Arabidopsis thaliana: one gene and its partners. The protein of the gene in region 1 interacts with the protein of each later gene in a pairwise test. Each region holds a gene or a part of one and is shown in the gene's direction. Other genes may lie near its edges.

Region 1 (4,177 bases):
TTTATCAATATATATATATATTAATATATATTTACAAGCGTGAAGTCATCTCCATCATTTATCTTCAACCATTTGATTACAAGTTATGTATCATGAATCTGCTTTTGTCTTTTCCTTATGATTCCAAATGATATTAACCTTCAACTTGTTGCATGTTCACAAGAGACAAACACAATTCACGGTATATTTGATCAATTGTAATTCGTTACATACATAACTTTAATTCATTGAAATATACACGAACTAGATCAATTAAAAAATTCAGGACGTTGAAAAAGCTTTACAAAAGAAAAGAATGTATAACTTTTCCTTTACACGAATAGTAAATGAGAAAAACTCACATCTACAATTTTCGTTATCGTGTTAAATAGTATACAAATTTAAACCACTTTTTGAGCATTTAGACCTAAGTTTTATTTTCCGGAGATAAGCTGTTATTTTGCTCTGTTTACGTTTTCTTTTGCATCACTACTCTTATGCATATGTATATAAGTCCTCACTTTACTCATTAATAAATTTCTTATTTAAACTAAAAAATCATATACCGAAGTTACTATAAAACCTACGAATTCTCTCTAATTCATAAACATTTGTAAACAGCATTCATTAATACTATATGATAGATAATAAATAACTGTTCGTATAATCTACTTATTTTTCTTATTTCACCTTTACAGACAACCCCACAGCCCACTTGGGTATCGACTTTATAGTTAAAGCAATGTTCGTGCCTTTTGTCCTATAAAGGAACGACACAGGTAGCGCCTAAGAAAAAAATAAAAACTAACAAGTGAGTAAAAATGCAAAATAAGTAGAAGGGAAAAAGAAAAAACGAGTATAAAAATCACACGCAATTCTAGAACAAACGTAGATAACGTGAAAAACATAGAATCAACTATTTGATATTGACTAACTGTTAGTGTACTTGGAACTGTGAGAATAAGTCGCTTTGAAGTCTGAAGAGGTTCAGGTGTCCTGAGTTTCTAAATAAATAAAGAGAACAAACTTGTACTTGTTTTTTGGTTGTGAAATATTACTGTATCTTAATACTGTGAAATTTCAACATATTTCTTGAAACTAAGTTTGGTATTTCTAGCAAATCCATCAATAGAGTATGAAATTCAATGTTCTCATTTAGTCATGATTTTGATCAAAAGAGAATTTTCCACACATCAATTGCGATTGAAAAAGTTTTCAAAGGATCATCATAGCTCACATCAAGAAACATGATGATGAATAATCTCATCACCACTATTTATTTAATAATTCCTTATAATGAAAACCAATTTTGTTCTCACTTTATTTGGAACCCATCATAGTCTAGTCCTCCACGAAAAAAAGAAAAGAAAATAAATGAGCATATAGTGACCCAAAACTAAACCCAAATTCAACTTTTTTTCAAAACTGGTACTTAGCTATACGTTTTCACATATTTAACAGTTGTTACTATGAACATGATATAAAGCATAGCTAACCAGATAAGATCAAACGCAACGAATACAAAATAAACTCTAATATAGCAATCATCAAAACGAATACAAATTCTTGCAAAAATAGAAAAGAAAGTGTGATGCAAAAACAAAGCTTTCCACAAATACAAACACATAACACAAAAACAACAGTTTATATATTTAATATAGTTTAATAAGATATGTTTGTTTTGTTTATCATATTTTTTTATAAACACAGGAGAAAACAATAAGGTAAACGGGAGCACGACAAGTTTGATAATGTCGGGAAGAAAAGTTAAAAAGAATTTCTTTGTTAATAATAAAATTAGGGAATAAAAAAAGGGTAAAAGAGAAGAAGAAAGAATGGCATTGTTGTTGGTATGGCCACTACCAGACATATGGGTCCTACTCTTCTCATCACTCTCTCCACCACCTAATCCTCTCTCTCTTTCTTCTTCCTCAATTCTTGAAACTCTCTTTCAGATTTCAAGAAACCCTTAAAATCCTCTCTCTGTCTCTTTCTGTTTGTTTGTTTTCTTGTTTCCTTCTCTCTCTCTCTTTCTTTCTTTGTCTTCCTTTCCCAGGTTGTTTTTTTTTGCTCTCTCTGCCTTCTTGACTTTCAAAAGACTCTTTCTTTCTTTTGGATTGATTTTGGATTCTAGGGCTCTCTTTCTTTTAGTGGGTTTTTGTTGTTGTTGTTGTGGTCTCTCTGATGATTACTGAACTTGAGATGGGGAAAGGTGAGAGTGAGCTTGAGCTTGGTCTAGGGCTGAGTCTTGGCGGTGGAACGGCGGCCAAGATTGGTAAATCAGGTGGTGGTGGCGCGTGGGGAGAGCGTGGAAGGCTTTTGACGGCTAAGGATTTTCCTTCTGTTGGTTCTAAACGTGCTGCTGATTCTGCTTCTCATGCTGGTTCATCTCCTCCTCGTTCAAGGTTCGTCTTTTTCAAGCTTTTTGGTTTCAAAGAAAGATCTTTTAAGATGTTTAATTCCTTTTGTATGATGTGAAATTGCTATTCTCTGAACATAGTTCGTTTAGGAGTTTCTTAAAGATTCTTTAGTGTTTGGATGTATACTTGATCTGAGTTATGTCGGAAGAAATGCTCTGGTTTGGAATTAGGAATCTTGAATAGTTGAATCTGTTCTTGGTTTTGATTCATTTGGATAGATTACAAGTCCTGACTTGATGTTTGCTTTGTTTGTAGCAGTCAAGTTGTTGGATGGCCTCCTATAGGGTCACACAGGATGAACAGTTTGGTTAATAACCAAGCTACAAAGTCAGCAAGAGAAGAAGAAGAAGCTGGTAAGAAGAAAGTGAAAGATGATGAACCTAAAGATGTGACAAAGAAAGTGAATGGGAAAGTACAAGTTGGATTTATTAAGGTGAACATGGATGGAGTTGCTATAGGAAGAAAAGTGGATTTGAATGCTCATTCTTCTTACGAGAATTTGGCGCAAACATTGGAAGATATGTTCTTTCGCACTAATCCGGGTACTGTCGGGTTAACCAGTCAGTTCACTAAACCGTTGAGGCTTTTAGATGGATCGTCTGAGTTTGTACTTACTTATGAAGATAAGGAAGGAGATTGGATGCTTGTTGGTGATGTTCCATGGAGGTAATAGATCTAAAAACCTTGTTTATTTATCTCTTACACTTCCAATAAATGTTTCTGATGGTCTTTTTGTTGGAATTATCTTAGAATGTTCATCAACTCGGTGAAAAGGCTACGTGTGATGAAAACCTCTGAAGCTAATGGACTCGGTATGTAGATAATCTCATCTTGATTCCTGTTCTTGTTTCTCAAGATGACGCAATGAAAAATTTCTACTAAAACATGTTAATATATATGCAGCTGCACGAAATCAAGAACCAAACGAGAGACAGCGAAAGCAGCCGGTTTAGATCTCTTTTCGACGTTACGGTGTTACAGGTTTTATATTTTGGGGTTTTGCAAGTCTGAGATACTTCTGAAGCAAGCATAAGCTAGATTGATCTTATATCCAGTTTGTGTATTTTCTTGGTTCTTATAATGGTTTTTACTGGTTTTCTTTAGTTTTTTTTTTTGCTGTCTTTTAATTTTCGGTTGCGATTTCACTATATACTATGGATGGAAGAGAATGCTCTTTATATCTTTTACTACACTGTAAATATTTGAAGCTTATCTAATATCGTTTTTAAGGGTTTTTGTTGATGAGTCTACTCTAATGATCTTAGAACTATGCCAATATATCCACAAATAACTACTCAGATCAAATGGGGTTACGGAAACATAAGGCAAGAAAGCAAATAGATTACAAAACTCATAATGTATTTACAACTCAAAACGTTTCACACAGGTTAAACTTCTTATAATAGTGATTGTGAAAATCCTTAATACATACATATTCCTCTCACTGTTAGCTTTTGAGTAATGTAATTGAAGCAGTGACTACAATACTCTACTTTAAGCAAAAGAATAAGCAAGCAACCAACGTTTTCAAGTCATAAGCTTTTAAATTCCCTAGTGACATTTAGCCTTGAGTTTTACGGGACTCTCTGAGTTGTTGATCTCTGATACTCTGCCTCCAACATTGAAGAAGTTTTGAAACAGAATTGCATATTTTTCGGTTCTTGTGTTTTGTAAGATTCTCTAGCCTAACCATGAGCTTCCTTGTTTCCATAGCTCTTGCGCTGATGGGGAACTCCAAGAGCAAAGCGAGGGTATCTACGCACATTGATGTTTCTACT
Region 2 (7,109 bases), on another chromosome or scaffold:
AATCGAAATAAATGAGATAACAAAAGTATTACAATAAATTTATTGAAAGACACCAAACCAGATGAATGATCCGTTGAGCTATCCAACAAGGGTCTAGATGACATTGAAGAATGTTAATGATAAATAATGAGAACTGAGGCTGGCTTTGAGGATGAATTATGCAATCTTGCATTGCGCTTTTTTCCATATGGAGTACAGTGAGGCTTGATAGGCAATTCGAAGAATCAAAGTAGTTTTCTTGTCACGACAAGGATTCTTCAACCATCTAACTTCATCCTCAAATTGATTTAGAGGAGAAAGATGGGCTTTATCATAGAAATAGTGTCATACCTTTGCAACATAAGAGCAGTCGAAGAATAAATGTTAGCGAGATTCATCCATCAAATTACAGAGAAGACACGACGAAGGAGTAGTCATGCCCCATCGAATCATTTTGTCTCTAGTGAGAAGTCTATGATGAGACTTTAGCCAAGCAATGAAAGCATGCTTAAGAATCCTTCCTGGAAATCACACAGATTCAAACCGATCCATCTTTGTGTCAGGAGGATGAAGATGTGCATAAGTTTTTTTTTGAATATTAATGTGCCTAAGTTTTAGCAGCAGAGAAAATATTTGATGCATGGATATCATCACCTTCCAAAGGTAAACATCATCCTCTACATCCTCTTGTAAGTTAACAGTAGAATAGGAAGGAAGACATTCTTTAAGCAACTGAATAATGGGACTGCGACTTCGAGAATTTGTAAGCCACTATTGTCTCTTTCTCAATGCATCCGCAACCACAACAGAACGAGGGAGAAGAGAAATTCTTAGTCATAAATCTTCAGGTTAGCTCGACAAATATGGTCCCAAAAAAATCCAATTATCAGTCCAGAAATTACAAGTTATTTCTGAACCAATTTCACAAACGATGAAAAACCTAGTTAAGGGTCTTAACTTGCAAAGATTATTCCAAATCCAGCTTCTCCAAGTGATACACTCCATATCCCAAATTTTTTAAAAATTATTCAAACAAGATCCATGTGTATTAGTTTTCTCTTTTGGTAAGTAAAATAGTGGTATCCATAAGATGTTGGATTATCGGGCATCTATTTGCTAATGATTGTTTCTAAATTAGAACTTAGATTTGCGAATCTAATAATACATCACTTATCAATAGATAAACCTTTGACCATTTTTTCAACGAACTCATAAAAGATCCAACAAAATATTTTTTGAGTTATTAAATTAAATACTACTATAAATTATCTTTAAATAAATCAAATTATGGGAGTATTTGGTGTTTCTTTCATCAATGAATGGAGCAAAAATAAAAAGTATTTAAAATAAACAACGCTAACATTTATGACAACTCTATTATCTCTCTCTCACTCTCTCACTTCAAATACTATAATTCATTGTCCTTTTCATCGAATCCAAGACCTCAAAAAAAACAATTATTATTTTTCAACGATCAAGATCTCAAGAGTCAAATCCAACGGTCAAAAAGAAGTGACTCTGGTACTGACACCACCTCTCATAATTCTCGTTAGTAGGACCTCTCTTCTTCTTCCTTCTCTCCACTGTATCGGATCCGGGTCAAATCCGGGTCGGGTGGAGTCGGGTCGGGTCTCTTATAAGAGGAGGAAAACCACTTACTCACTTTCTTCTTCTTTTCTCTCTCTCTTTCACCCCCACGCACTCTTCTTTTCTCTCTCTGACACATATCTTTTTCTCTCACTAACCATTTCTTTCTCTCTCTCTCTTCTGTTTTTGAAAGCCAAAGTGTCTCTCTTGGACAGTGATGGAACTGCTTCAAGAGATTTAATTTTTTACCCACGAGAGAAGTCAAGTTGTTGAAGAAGAAAGATTTGTTCTTTTGTCTTGTTTCTTTCATTTTTTCATCCACAAAGATCTCAAAGACAAGAGTTTTTTTTTTTCTGTTGGGGTTGCTTCAATGCGTACTTGTAGTAGAGAGCTTGTGTTGTTGTTCATGGTTTGATGATGAGAAGAAACAGATTCTGGTTTTGAAGAAATGGGGTTTGTTCTGTTTCTTGTGTTTAAGGGTTTTATGGATGGTTTTTTGATTCGAAGCTTTCACTGAGTCTTATGGTTGTGAGTGAGATTTTTGGGGGTTTGAACAAAGGAGATGGAGAAAGACGAGTTTGTACTTCCGGAGCTAAAGAGTTATAGCTACTGTAGTAGCTGGAAGTGAAGAAGATTTTTTAATAGATTGTACGGAAAAATTAGGGTTTTCAAAGTTTGGTTTCTTGAAGTTGAATTAGACATGAAGCTGTCAACATCTGGATTGGGTCAACAGGGTCATGAAGGTGACTTGTTTACTCTCTGATTTTCTTAGTTCTGTTTCTGGACAAGTGTTTTCTTAGTTCTTGTGTCTGTGTTTGTTCTAACAGGAGAGAAGTGTCTGAATTCTGAGCTATGGCATGCTTGTGCTGGACCATTAGTCTCTCTTCCATCATCTGGTAGTCGAGTTGTTTACTTTCCACAGGGTCACAGTGAACAGGTTTGGGTTGTTGTTTAAAAGTATGGAGCTTTATTTTTAGACTTGTGTTATATTTGGGCATTTCCATTTAAATAGAAGTGTACTTGTAGGTAGCTGCTACAACTAATAAGGAAGTTGATGGTCACATACCCAATTACCCAAGCCTACCACCACAATTGATATGCCAGCTCCATAATGTTACAATGCATGTGCGTAGTTAGTTCCCTGTCCCTTTCCATATTCAATTTTTACTTTTGTAAACTAGTTTTGGGATGATGTGCTTTGTAAGTATGGGTTTCGTTTCTACTATTTCAGGCAGATGTTGAGACGGATGAAGTCTATGCTCAAATGACACTTCAACCATTGACACCGGTAGATACATTATACATAACAGGTTTTTGAGTCTGTGAATTAATAACTTAAGCTTTAGGATTGGTGTTGTTTATAGGAGGAGCAGAAGGAAACATTTGTACCGATTGAGTTGGGGATACCGAGTAAGCAACCTAGTAATTATTTTTGTAAGACTCTCACAGCTAGTGATACCAGTACACATGGAGGGTTTTCTGTTCCTAGACGTGCTGCTGAGAAAGTGTTTCCTCCATTGGTATTATACTTTTTCTTTTACTTACTTTGCTATAAATTGTTGTTGAGAAAATATATGTATTCCTTTTAATATCTTGTGTCTTCCCTGTTGCAGGATTACACACTGCAGCCACCAGCTCAAGAACTGATTGCAAGGGATCTCCATGATGTTGAATGGAAGTTTAGGCATATCTTTCGGGGTAGGTTTCACCTTTCCTCGGTGTGCGTTGATGATCCCTTTTTAACTGTAGTCGCCAGTGTAAAAATTTCAATTGGCTGTTAAGTATGTCTGAAGCAGCATCTGCTGTTATTTTCACTACTCATGTGTGGTTTAGTTGAAGAAACCACGGAGGCTCTGTGTTCTTGTCGTTGTCTATTATAACGTGGAATTATTTACTTGTTCATATGAAGTTAAGTTGATTTGAATCCTTCTTCTTGGTTTGTTAGGAATAACTTACATGGTTTTGGTGTGATTATGCAGGACAGCCCAAACGGCATCTCCTAACTACTGGATGGAGTGTCTTTGTCAGTGCCAAGCGACTAGTAGCTGGAGATTCTGTCATTTTCATCAGGTTTAGTTCTTTTGTTGTACGTTCAGTTTGTGGATTGTGATTATATTTGTAACACTATTACTTGTTTCCAGGAATGAAAAGAATCAACTCTTTTTGGGAATTCGTCATGCCACTCGGCCGCAGACTATTGTACCATCATCTGTTTTATCTAGTGATAGCATGCATATTGGACTCCTTGCTGCTGCTGCACATGCTTCTGCAACTAATAGCTGTTTCACTGTTTTCTTTCATCCAAGGTTGAAAAATCTCTCCCACCTGCATCTTTTTCATCTCTCGGTATATCCGATAATATATCCTACTAATATTCTCTTCATGTTCAGGGCTAGCCAATCTGAGTTTGTGATACAACTTTCCAAGTACATTAAAGCCGTTTTTCACACGCGTATTTCAGTTGGGATGCGCTTTCGCATGCTCTTCGAGACAGAAGAGTCGAGTGTCCGCAGGTGATGATGCCACATATCTGGAAATGCAATCTTGAAACTGAGAAAACTATATCATTATGTTACACATATTACTTTAACATGTTTTCTGACAGTGGCATGGGGAACTTTCCAGGTACATGGGTACTATAACTGGTATTAGTGATCTAGATTCTGTTCGTTGGCCAAACTCTCATTGGCGATCTGTGAAGGTAACAACACTATTAAGCCTGTTACCTTATTTAAATTCCATGGAACGTCACACAGCTTTCTGATGATTTAGTCCAATATTACTCTGAAATTCCATCAACATTGATGAACTGTGGCATTATTGGTGTAGGTTGGTTGGGATGAATCGACTGCAGGGGAGAGACAGCCAAGGGTTTCTTTATGGGAGATTGAGCCTCTGACTACCTTTCCTATGTATCCATCTCTTTTTCCTCTCAGACTAAAACGTCCATGGCATGCTGGCACATCATCTTTGCCTGGTATCCACCTTTTGGCTCTTCTCCTAACTGTTATTAACTAGTATAGTACGTTCGTGAAGTCTCTTACTGTCACTCAGTGTTTCTGCTATTGTAACTTAGTTGCTACTTCGGATAAATAACAAATGTTCGATTGAGTAGAGCTCTGAAGAGGGTCTTACTGTTATAATTTATTTACAAAGAAGTGTGTAGGTACTCTCCATAGCTATTTACTCAAAACATTATGATGTTACAGATGGAAGGGGTGATTTGGGAAGTGGTCTAACATGGCTAAGAGGGGGAGGTGGAGAGCAGCAAGGTTTGCTTCCTCTAAATTATCCATCTGTTGGTTTGTTTCCATGGATGCAACAAAGGCTGGATCTCAGTCAAATGGGGACTGATAATAATCAGCAATACCAAGCAATGTTAGCTGCTGGGTTGCAGAACATCGGCGGTGGAGATCCTTTAAGACAGCAGTTTGTACAGCTGCAAGAGCCTCACCACCAATATCTTCAACAATCAGCTTCCCATAATTCTGATTTGATGCTTCAGCAGCAACAGCAGCAACAAGCGTCACGCCATCTCATGCATGCTCAAACACAGATTATGAGTGAGAATCTTCCGCAGCAGAATATGCGACAAGAAGTTAGTAACCAACCAGCTGGACAGCAGCAACAGCTACAGCAACCGGACCAAAATGCATATCTTAATGCTTTCAAAATGCAAAATGGCCATCTTCAACAGTGGCAGCAGCAATCAGAGATGCCATCTCCCTCGTTCATGAAGTCAGATTTTACTGACTCAAGCAACAAATTTGCAACAACTGCTAGTCCGGCTTCTGGAGATGGCAATCTTTTGAATTTTTCTATAACCGGTCAGTCTGTACTCCCTGAGCAGTTAACAACAGAGGGCTGGTCTCCAAAAGCATCCAACACTTTTTCTGAACCGTTGTCACTTCCACAAGCCTATCCTGGGAAGAGTCTTGCTCTAGAACCCGGAAATCCGCAGAATCCCTCTCTTTTCGGTGTTGATCCCGACTCTGGACTCTTCCTCCCCAGTACGGTTCCCCGCTTTGCTTCTTCATCAGGAGATGCTGAAGCTTCCCCTATGTCACTAACAGATTCAGGATTTCAGAATTCCTTATATAGCTGCATGCAAGACACAACTCATGAGTTATTGCATGGAGCTGGACAGATTAACTCGTCCAACCAAACCAAGAACTTTGTAAAGGTGCTGGTTTGTTCTAGGCTCACCGACTTCTCTGTGGCTCTACTGTCTCTAAGAAAATACTGATATGCTTACAAATCCAAAACTGCAGGTTTATAAATCTGGTTCGGTTGGGCGTTCATTAGACATCTCCCGATTCAGCAGCTACCACGAGCTGCGAGAAGAGTTAGGGAAGATGTTTGCTATCGAAGGGTTGTTGGAAGACCCCCTTAGATCAGGCTGGCAGCTTGTATTCGTTGACAAGGAAAATGATATTCTTCTCCTTGGTGATGACCCATGGGAGTAAGTAAAGTACTCTTCTTCTATTTGTATACATTGCTTTAGATTTGAGATAGATCTTTAAAAGCTTGTTCTGCAGGTCATTTGTGAATAACGTTTGGTACATAAAGATACTATCACCAGAAGATGTGCATCAAATGGGAGATCATGGAGAAGGCAGTGGTGGGTTATTCCCGCAAAACCCGACCCATCTCTAGAAGCTGCTTCGGTGTTAGTCTCATCATGCTACAACGCGGGAGCCCTTTGTTTCCCATTTGAAGTCGTTTCCACTCATCTTTATATGCCATTCGTTCGCATCTCTCTCGTTTTGACGTTTTTAGAAAGAAACATAATCATATTTGTGAGTATGGGTCCTGAAACTTTAGGACGTACTTTAGCTTGTATTAGACAGACACTCTCGTCATAAACATAAGAACCTTTATGTAGCTGTCTCAGGGTAACTAAACTTTTCTAGTATTTATTCTTATTCTATTTTTGTAACAACATTGTTAGACATTCAGTTTGGTCAGACCAATTAGATTCCATAAGGTGTGAAACCAAAACCAACCAAATCTTTAAAACACAACCATTAATCACAAAATGTTACCAAAAGCTTCTACTAGTAACTTAGGTTGAAGAATGACATAGATGAAGTACCAACAACTCATTTTCTCCCTTTCTTTTTGACCCAAAGAGTACTTAAACGTGCACACACATCAGACTTATCAACCTTGGACAGCATTCATGGCATCTCTCAATCTCTTATCATCTTTAGCATCATAGAAGCATTTACGTCTCTTCGAGTCACTTATAAGGTTTGCCCAAATCGAACCACTCCGAGCCAGTGTTGACTCATTTCCAATCACCCATAAACAGTGCCTAGCTCGAGTGAGTGCCACATTGGCTCTTTGACGGTTACTGAGAAATCCAACCTTCCCGTTACTATTACTTCTAACGGTAGAGATGATGATAATGTCTTCTTCACCACCTTGAAACCCATCTACAGACCGAACATTCACAGTGAAAAGCTCACCTGATAAGGAACTGTACTTATCTCTGATTCTCTCTTGGATTGCTCTAACTTGTCCTTTGTAAGGAGTAATCA
Region 3 (8,030 bases), on another chromosome or scaffold:
TTTTACAAAATTTATGTTAAAAAATTATGTTTAGCGTTTTACAAAAATTATGCTAGAAAAGTTTATGTTTAGCGGAAATCTAAAATCACTTAAAACGCAAAAAATTAATCAGTACGTAGATTATTTTCCACAACTCTCTCTTACATACAAATTAACAAATAATGCATATCAGAATGACATAGTAAAGTCGAGAAAATCATGGAATCGTAACGAAACTTCCTCGTCTCTCTCTGATAATTCATCCAACTCAAGTGGTGTATTTTGTGGTTACATTTACATATATTGTCAACACCAACTGTCGAATTCATTAAATCGGCTAAAATACGTTGATGTGATTCTGGAAATATCTTTAGGACAGTATATGAGTTATTCATCTTGTTCATTTTCCACTTTCCACTGCGGACACCATACGGACACACAACCGGTTCTGAAATGCGTCACGCTCTTCTTCCTTTCATTCCAACTTTAATACATGCATGAAGTCGTAGTTCGGAGTTCATACTAAATTTCGGTCACTTTGTAATAAGAAAACTATTAACATTTTTCTTTTTCTTTTTTTAAACGTTAGCTAGGCCTCAAAGTTTCACAAAAAAAAAAGAAAAAAAAAAGCTAGGCGTCGAAATCCATAACTTCAAAAGGCCTTCTTACATTCATCCAATCTCCAAACTTCTGTCTTCACGCATTTATTGCTCAGGGACATCATGTCGCTACTCACTGCCACTTATTTGAATTGACATCCATTCATTCCATACATATATATTACCTTCACTTAAAGTTGTAAGTATATAGAATTTTAAGCATTCCTGCCAAATAAGTTTTGGATCGAACCTAAACTAACAAAGAGGTTACTGTTTTGTAACTTTCTTTTTTGATGTGGGGTCATTCAAAGGGTTTACATGCATTTTACAATGGTCTGTGATGAATATGGAGGTTCAGTCTTTGGTAGATAAAACTTGTTATGTGGCCTTAAACCAAATAGATTGTAGTTTGTACAATGACATATTTATGGTTATATTCGGTTTTCCAATATGTTTAGGAATATATATCACCGTTTTTTTTTGGGTAGACATTTTAACGATTATAGAGGAAAATTTTGAATGATGGCTGTACTGGGAAAAGAGTGTAAGTTGTGATCATCATATGTAATTTTATTTTGTGTGACATTATAACACTTCTTCCAAAAGACAAAAGTTTAGGTTAATTAATATAAGAAACCAATAAAGAATCATGAACAAAGAGAGAACTTCTATCATTTTTGATATGAAATCGTCCGTTAAAATATTGTTCTTTGTGATCGCATATGCTGTATGTACTTAGATTTGATCAATTAATCAACATTTACAACAAAATAAGATCAATTGTTTATAATGATGATCTAAGCGAATTTAGATTTGTTTGTTATTATAGAACTCATTACTAAACATTTAAGTTCCATTCTCGTTTAAAACATGAACGCTAGTTTATGAAACTCAGAACCAACCATGTAAAACTCCACAAAATTTCTAGTAAAATGCTTTTGTTCAAAATAATGAAAATCATAAAATTTTTTGATGAATTATGAATCCTAAAATCTATCTGAATTAAATATAGTTAACTACAAAAGAAATTGCCAAACATATATGTACGCACTTTGATCAAATAACTAGCTAGTCAGCTTAGTTTGTTTTTTTCAATACATCCCCTATAAATCTATGTTATCCCTAATCAAGTATTACAATAAATGATACAGTAATAATAACCTTAATGAAAAAAACTTATCAAATTATCAGAGATAAGGAAAAAGAAAACACTAATAAAGTTGTTTTTTTGTGTGTCAAAGTTAAAATTTTAGAGGACAATAATAACATTAAGAAATTAAATCGTGGCCAGTTTGCTAGTGAATATGTCGGCTTCATGAGCATAACTAAATAGGTATAAAAAAATAAAAATATCGGAAAAAGAAAAGAGAAGGAAAAAAAAAGGAGAGGAAGAAGAAAAAGCTGTTCCTGTGCTTTAGCAGACCTTTTGGTAGTTGTCCTGGTCGCTGATCATCCCTTTCCGACAACTCTGTTGCTCTTTCTCTCACGTTTGAGTCTTAATCTTCGATTGTCCTTGGTCATCCTTAAGTTTTGTTTTTCTCTTTCGATTCATTTTCCAGATTTCTTTTTATAGAAACCCGTCTCTTTGATTTGATTCCCCCCAAGAAAGGAAAGCAAAACAAAGAAGAGCAGCTGAATCAAGTAACTTTGTGGGTGTTTTTGAATTATCTGACTCGAGATAAAGAGCTTCGTTAAAAACGGAATCTTTTTTAAGGTCGTATGCTTTGTTTGTCTCTCCGGAGATTCCGCGTGTGAAAAGTCGTGGTTTTTGATCTCTTTGAGATACTTAAAATTTCCGAGAAATTGGCGGCTCTGTCGGAGATAAAAAGCTGAGATCTTGGAGTTCCCCATTTCTGATTAACGATTCTCTCTGCTGTTACTTGAGCTAGGAAGCTATTAACAACTTGAGTGAAAGTTTAGGGCTTTTGATGAAGCTCTCACGCAAAGAGCTTAGCTTTGTATAAGCTCAGATTCAGATTATTTATTGGGTTTATTCTTCAGAGAAAGTAAAGTTGAGTGATCATGAAAGCTCCTTCATCAAATGGAGTTTCTCCTAATCCTGTTGAAGGTTTGTGTGTTTCTCGTATCTGATAAATGTCAATCCTTTAGTAGAAGAAATTCATTGCTGGATTTGAATAGATTCAAGTTTTAAGTAGAAGAGGTCACACATTTCTTCAGAATTGCTGGATTTGAGAACCTGAATTGAATTGGTTTCGGTCATTTTCTGCTTAGAGAGTAAGCTAAGTTACTATTGTATTGGTTTATAAAGACTGTGGCTTTTAGTTGGTTTAGAGCAGTTCTCTCCTATCTTGTTGGTTTGATAATAGTAACTGAATGAAGATCCTAGAGATTTTAAGTAATCACAGCTTTGATGTTGTGTGAATGCAGGAGAAAGGAGAAATATAAACTCAGAGCTATGGCACGCTTGTGCTGGGCCATTGATTTCGTTGCCTCCAGCAGGAAGTCTTGTTGTTTACTTCCCTCAAGGTCACAGTGAGCAAGTATGTTGTTCAATAAAGTTTGGTATCATTCGCGGCTGATCAAGAATGAGTCGCTGATTGGAAATTTCATGTGGTTGCTATTTATTTTTCTGTTTCTTAGGTCGCGGCTTCAATGCAGAAGCAGACTGATTTCATACCAAGTTACCCGAATCTTCCTTCCAAGCTCATATGCATGCTCCACAATGTTACACTGAATGTATGGTATCTTTTAAATATCTATAATGGCCTCTTAGGCTAGTTGTTTTAACATTTTTTGCTTTTGAGTTGCTAATGTTTTGCTAATTGTCGACTGTGAACCAGGCTGATCCTGAGACGGATGAGGTCTATGCGCAGATGACTCTTCAGCCAGTAAACAAAGTAGCTTACCTTTCACTGAATAACTCGATTTATAGGTGTATTTAAGGAGTAGGGAGGGACTAATTGCTCTGAGCATTTTGTTGAACAGTATGACAGAGATGCATTGCTTGCTTCTGACATGGGTCTTAAGCTAAACAGACAACCTAATGAATTTTTCTGCAAAACCCTCACGGCGAGTGACACAAGTACTCACGGTGGATTTTCTGTACCCCGACGAGCTGCTGAGAAAATCTTTCCTGCTCTGGTGTATATACAATACTTTCTTATACATCTGATAGTTAGTATCTCTGTATTGCCTTAGTTTCTTACATTGTTGGCAATATTTTACTAGGATTTCTCGATGCAACCACCTTGTCAGGAGCTTGTTGCTAAGGATATTCATGACAACACATGGACTTTCAGACATATTTATCGAGGTTTTACCTTGTTTTTGGTAGATTACCTTCTTTAATCAATTTGGCTTTCGTAGAATTGTTCTTACGTTTTGGATATGTTGACATTTATCAGGTCAACCAAAAAGGCACTTGCTAACTACAGGCTGGAGTGTGTTTGTCAGCACGAAAAGGCTCTTTGCTGGAGACTCTGTTCTTTTTATAAGGTATATCAATCTCAATGTGCCAATGCTCTCTTTCGGTATTTTTTTTTGTCAAGATGCTAATTCTTTTTTTCTTTCAATTAAGAGATGGAAAGGCGCAACTTCTGTTGGGGATAAGACGTGCAAATAGACAACAGCCTGCACTTTCTTCATCTGTAATATCAAGTGATAGCATGCACATCGGAGTTCTTGCAGCTGCAGCTCATGCTAATGCTAATAACAGTCCTTTCACCATTTTCTACAACCCGAGGTGGCGATCTATGTTTCCTTTTGTCTACGTTAACCTTACTATATATGCTTGTTTCATGGCAATTGCTGAGAGATTTACAACCGAGTTTTTTCAGGGCTGCTCCTGCTGAGTTTGTGGTTCCTTTAGCCAAGTATACCAAAGCGATGTACGCTCAAGTTTCCCTCGGTATGCGGTTTAGAATGATATTTGAGACTGAAGAATGTGGAGTTCGTCGGTATATGGGTACAGTTACCGGTATCAGTGATCTTGATCCAGTGAGATGGAAAAACTCTCAGTGGCGGAATCTTCAGGTAGTTTGAAGTAAAACTCATGATGAATGTCAGATTTGTCTTTCTTGATACATTGCACCATTCATTTTAGTTATGCTTTGTTTCTGTTTCTGCTAAAGATTGGATGGGATGAGTCAGCTGCTGGTGATAGGCCCAGTCGAGTTTCAGTTTGGGACATTGAACCGGTTTTAACTCCTTTCTACATATGTCCTCCTCCATTTTTCCGACCTCGCTTTTCTGGACAACCTGGAATGCCAGGTAAATTTTTGTACCATTTCATTTCGACACAACTTCTTTGAATCTCCTCAAGGACGGAATTTCCGGTGCTCTTGCAGATGATGAGACTGACATGGAGTCTGCACTGAAGAGAGCAATGCCATGGCTTGATAATAGCTTAGAGATGAAAGACCCTTCGAGTACTATCTTTCCTGGTCTGAGTTTAGTTCAGTGGATGAATATGCAGCAGCAGAACGGCCAGCTACCCTCTGCTGCTGCACAGCCAGGTTTCTTCCCATCAATGCTTTCGCCAACCGCGGCGCTGCACAACAATCTTGGCGGCACTGATGATCCCTCCAAGTTACTGAGCTTTCAGACGCCGCACGGGGGGATTTCCTCCTCAAATCTCCAATTTAACAAACAGAATCAGCAAGCCCCAATGTCTCAGTTGCCTCAGCCACCAACTACGTTGTCCCAACAACAGCAGCTGCAGCAATTGTTGCACTCCTCTTTGAACCATCAACAACAGCAATCGCAGTCTCAACAACAGCAACAACAACAACAGTTGCTGCAGCAGCAACAACAATTGCAGTCTCAACAACACAGCAACAACAATCAATCGCAGTCTCAGCAACAACAACAATTGCTCCAGCAGCAACAACAACAACAACTGCAGCAACAACATCAACAACCGTTACAGCAACAGACTCAGCAGCAGCAGCTAAGAACACAGCCATTGCAATCTCACTCGCATCCACAGCCACAACAGTTACAACAACATAAGTTGCAGCAACTTCAGGTTCCACAGAATCAGCTTTACAATGGTCAACAAGCAGCGCAGCAGCATCAGTCGCAACAAGCATCTACACATCATTTGCAACCACAATTAGTTTCGGGATCAATGGCAAGCAGTGTCATCACGCCTCCGTCCAGCTCCCTTAATCAAAGCTTTCAACAGCAACAACAACAGTCTAAGCAACTTCAACAAGCACATCACCATTTAGGTGCTAGCACTAGCCAGAGTAGTGTAATTGAAACCAGCAAGTCTTCATCCAATCTGATGTCCGCACCGCCGCAAGAGACACAGTTTTCACGACAAGTAGAACAGCAGCAGCCTCCTGGTCTCAACGGGCAGAATCAGCAAACACTTTTGCAGCAGAAAGCTCACCAGGCACAGGCCCAACAGATATTCCAGCAGAGTCTCTTGGAACAGCCGCATATACAGTTTCAGCTGTTACAGAGATTACAACAGCAACAGCAGCAGCAATTTCTTTCGCCGCAGTCTCAGTTACCACACCATCAATTGCAAAGCCAGCAGTTGCAACAGCTGCCTACTCTCTCTCAAGGTCATCAGTTTCCGTCATCTTGCACTAACAATGGCTTATCGACGTTGCAACCACCTCAAATGCTGGTGAGCCGACCTCAGGAAAAACAAAACCCACCGGTTGGGGGAGGGGTCAAAGCTTATTCAGGCATCACAGATGGAGGAGATGCACCTTCCTCTTCAACGTCGCCTTCCACCAACAACTGTCAGATCTCTTCTTCAGGCTTTCTCAACAGAAGCCAAAGCGGGCCAGCGATCTTGATACCTGATGCAGCGATTGATATGTCTGGTAATCTTGTTCAGGATCTTTACAGCAAATCCGATATGCGGCTAAAACAAGAACTCGTGGGTCAGCAAAAGTCCAAAGCTAGTTTAACAGATCATCAACTAGAAGCATCTGCCTCTGGAACTTCTTACGGTTTAGATGGAGGCGAAAACAACAGACAACAAAATTTCTTGGCTCCAACTTTTGGCCTTGACGGTGATTCCAGGAACAGCTTGCTCGGTGGAGCTAATGTTGATAATGGCTTTGTGCCTGACACGCTACTCTCGAGGGGATATGACTCCCAGAAAGATCTTCAGAACATGCTTTCAAACTATGGAGGAGTGACAAATGACATTGGTACAGAGATGTCTACTTCAGCTGTAAGAACTCAATCTTTTGGTGTCCCCAATGTGCCCGCCATTTCGAACGATCTAGCTGTCAACGATGCTGGAGTTCTTGGTGGTGGATTGTGGCCAGCTCAGACTCAGCGAATGCGAACTTATACAAAGGTTCGATTGTGCTCTGATCTATGCTTGTTGATATTTGGGTTATGTTTTCGGTTTGACAAATGTTAAATTTTCCTACAGGTGCAAAAACGAGGCTCAGTGGGGAGATCAATAGACGTCAACCGTTACAGAGGTTACGATGAGCTGAGGCATGATCTAGCGCGCATGTTTGGGATCGAAGGACAGCTCGAAGATCCTCAAACATCTGACTGGAAACTTGTTTATGTCGATCATGAAAATGACATCCTCCTCGTCGGCGATGATCCATGGGAGTAAGTAGAGAGCAATTACATTCACACATCAGACTGTTAGAAGTTCCATTATTTTTTTGCTAACCTTTAAAATCGTGATTTTTGCAGAGAATTCGTAAACTGTGTTCAGAGCATTAAGATCCTTTCATCAGCTGAGGTTCAGCAGATGAGCTTAGACGGGAACTTTGCCGGTGTACCAGTTACTAATCAAGCTTGTAGTGGCGGTGACAGTGGCAATGCTTGGAGAGGTCATTATGATGATAACTCAGCCACTTCGTTTAACCGGTGATGGCAGAAGAGTTCTCTCACAGACAAAGATTCTTTTTTCTTCGTTTTGTAATATAACTTCTCGTTGATAACATGTCTCAAGTTTCCACTGGGCACTGTAGAGCATTTACCTGTAAAATATCTTCCACTAAGTTTACACGGAGATTTTATTTGCTGTGAGTCACTGTTTCTACCAAGTTTAACTGATCAACTGAAACCGCTTGTAACCAAAAAGAGAAGGAAAAACATGAAATCAGCAATAAAATCACATTTTCAAACTCAAGTCTTTATTCCAGATTATGCTCAGGCCGTTTACGGAAAAAATTTCCACAATTGGGATACAAGTTGCAGATTACAAAGATATAACATAACTAAGAAAGTATAGCCATCACATCTGAAGCTCTGAGGGCAATGTAGTTGGAACCATCTTTGCCCTTGAAGTCGTTACCAGCATACTTGGAGTAAAGTACTGTGCTTCCGGTTGATACTGGTAGAGGCGTAATTTTACCTTCCTCGTCTAGGGAACCCGGTCCAACTGCTATCACCTGCCATAAAATGAAGAGGAGAATATGTATAATTGGAACTTGTGTATGAACTGACTATCACATCAAGCTACTAAGAAAGTATCAGATTCCCCGAATGGACATGATA

The links. The genes of interacting proteins can lie anywhere in the genome.
Region 2: the proteins of IAA13 (region 1) and ARF8 interact in a two-hybrid assay, tested with the Arabidopsis thaliana proteins (3 studies listed by BioGRID).
Region 3: the proteins of IAA13 (region 1) and NPH4 interact in a two-hybrid assay, tested with the Arabidopsis thaliana proteins (3 studies listed by BioGRID).

What each region holds. Positions count from the first base shown.
Region 1 is NC_003071.7:14,113,744-14,117,920, reverse strand, and holds IAA13 (auxin-induced protein 13), read left to right. Parts: upstream 1-1,951; 5' UTR 1,952-2,163; coding exon 2,164-2,384; intron 2,385-2,654; coding exon 2,655-3,065; intron 3,066-3,149; coding exon 3,150-3,211; intron 3,212-3,302; coding exon 3,303-3,352; 3' UTR 3,353-3,640; downstream 3,641-4,177. Other genes in the region: AT2G33300 (Transcription elongation factor (TFIIS) family protein), read right to left, coding at 3,961-4,177. UniProt on the Arabidopsis thaliana protein: Aux/IAA proteins are short-lived transcriptional factors that function as repressors of early auxin response genes at low auxin concentrations.
Region 2 is NC_003076.8:14,627,885-14,634,993, forward strand, and holds ARF8 (auxin response factor 8), read left to right. Parts: upstream 1-1,568; 5' UTR 1,569-2,266; coding exon 2,267-2,309; intron 2,310-2,393; coding exon 2,394-2,503; intron 2,504-2,592; coding exon 2,593-2,691; exon of another isoform or gene 2,692-2,797; coding exon 2,798-2,854; intron 2,855-2,930; coding exon 2,931-3,086; intron 3,087-3,179; coding exon 3,180-3,264; intron 3,265-3,545; coding exon 3,546-3,636; intron 3,637-3,707; coding exon 3,708-3,872; intron 3,873-3,956; coding exon 3,957-4,079; intron 4,080-4,191; coding exon 4,192-4,267; intron 4,268-4,395; coding exon 4,396-4,543; intron 4,544-4,775; coding exon 4,776-5,749; intron 5,750-5,837; coding exon 5,838-6,028; coding exon of another isoform or gene 6,029-6,032; intron 6,033-6,104; coding exon 6,105-6,222; 3' UTR 6,223-6,570; downstream 6,571-7,109. Other genes in the region: AT5G37030 (P-loop containing nucleoside triphosphate hydrolases superfamily protein), read right to left, coding at 6,730-7,109. UniProt on the Arabidopsis thaliana protein: Auxin response factors (ARFs) are transcriptional factors that bind specifically to the DNA sequence 5'-TGTCTC-3' found in the auxin-responsive promoter elements (AuxREs). Seems to act as transcriptional activator.
Region 3 is NC_003076.8:7,016,075-7,024,104, reverse strand, and holds NPH4 (Transcriptional factor B3 family protein / auxin-responsive factor AUX/IAA-like protein), read left to right. Parts: upstream 1-1,991; 5' UTR 1,992-2,600; coding exon 2,601-2,646; intron 2,647-2,966; coding exon 2,967-3,079; intron 3,080-3,179; coding exon 3,180-3,275; intron 3,276-3,379; coding exon 3,380-3,436; intron 3,437-3,524; coding exon 3,525-3,680; intron 3,681-3,767; coding exon 3,768-3,852; intron 3,853-3,943; coding exon 3,944-4,034; intron 4,035-4,116; coding exon 4,117-4,284; intron 4,285-4,375; coding exon 4,376-4,571; intron 4,572-4,669; coding exon 4,670-4,808; intron 4,809-4,885; coding exon 4,886-6,864; intron 6,865-6,942; coding exon 6,943-7,133; intron 7,134-7,220; coding exon 7,221-7,401; 3' UTR 7,402-7,635; downstream 7,636-8,030. Other genes in the region: CPN20 (chaperonin 20), read right to left, coding at 7,751-7,924. UniProt on the Arabidopsis thaliana protein: Auxin response factors (ARFs) are transcriptional factors that bind specifically to the DNA sequence 5'-TGTCTC-3' found in the auxin-responsive promoter elements (AuxREs).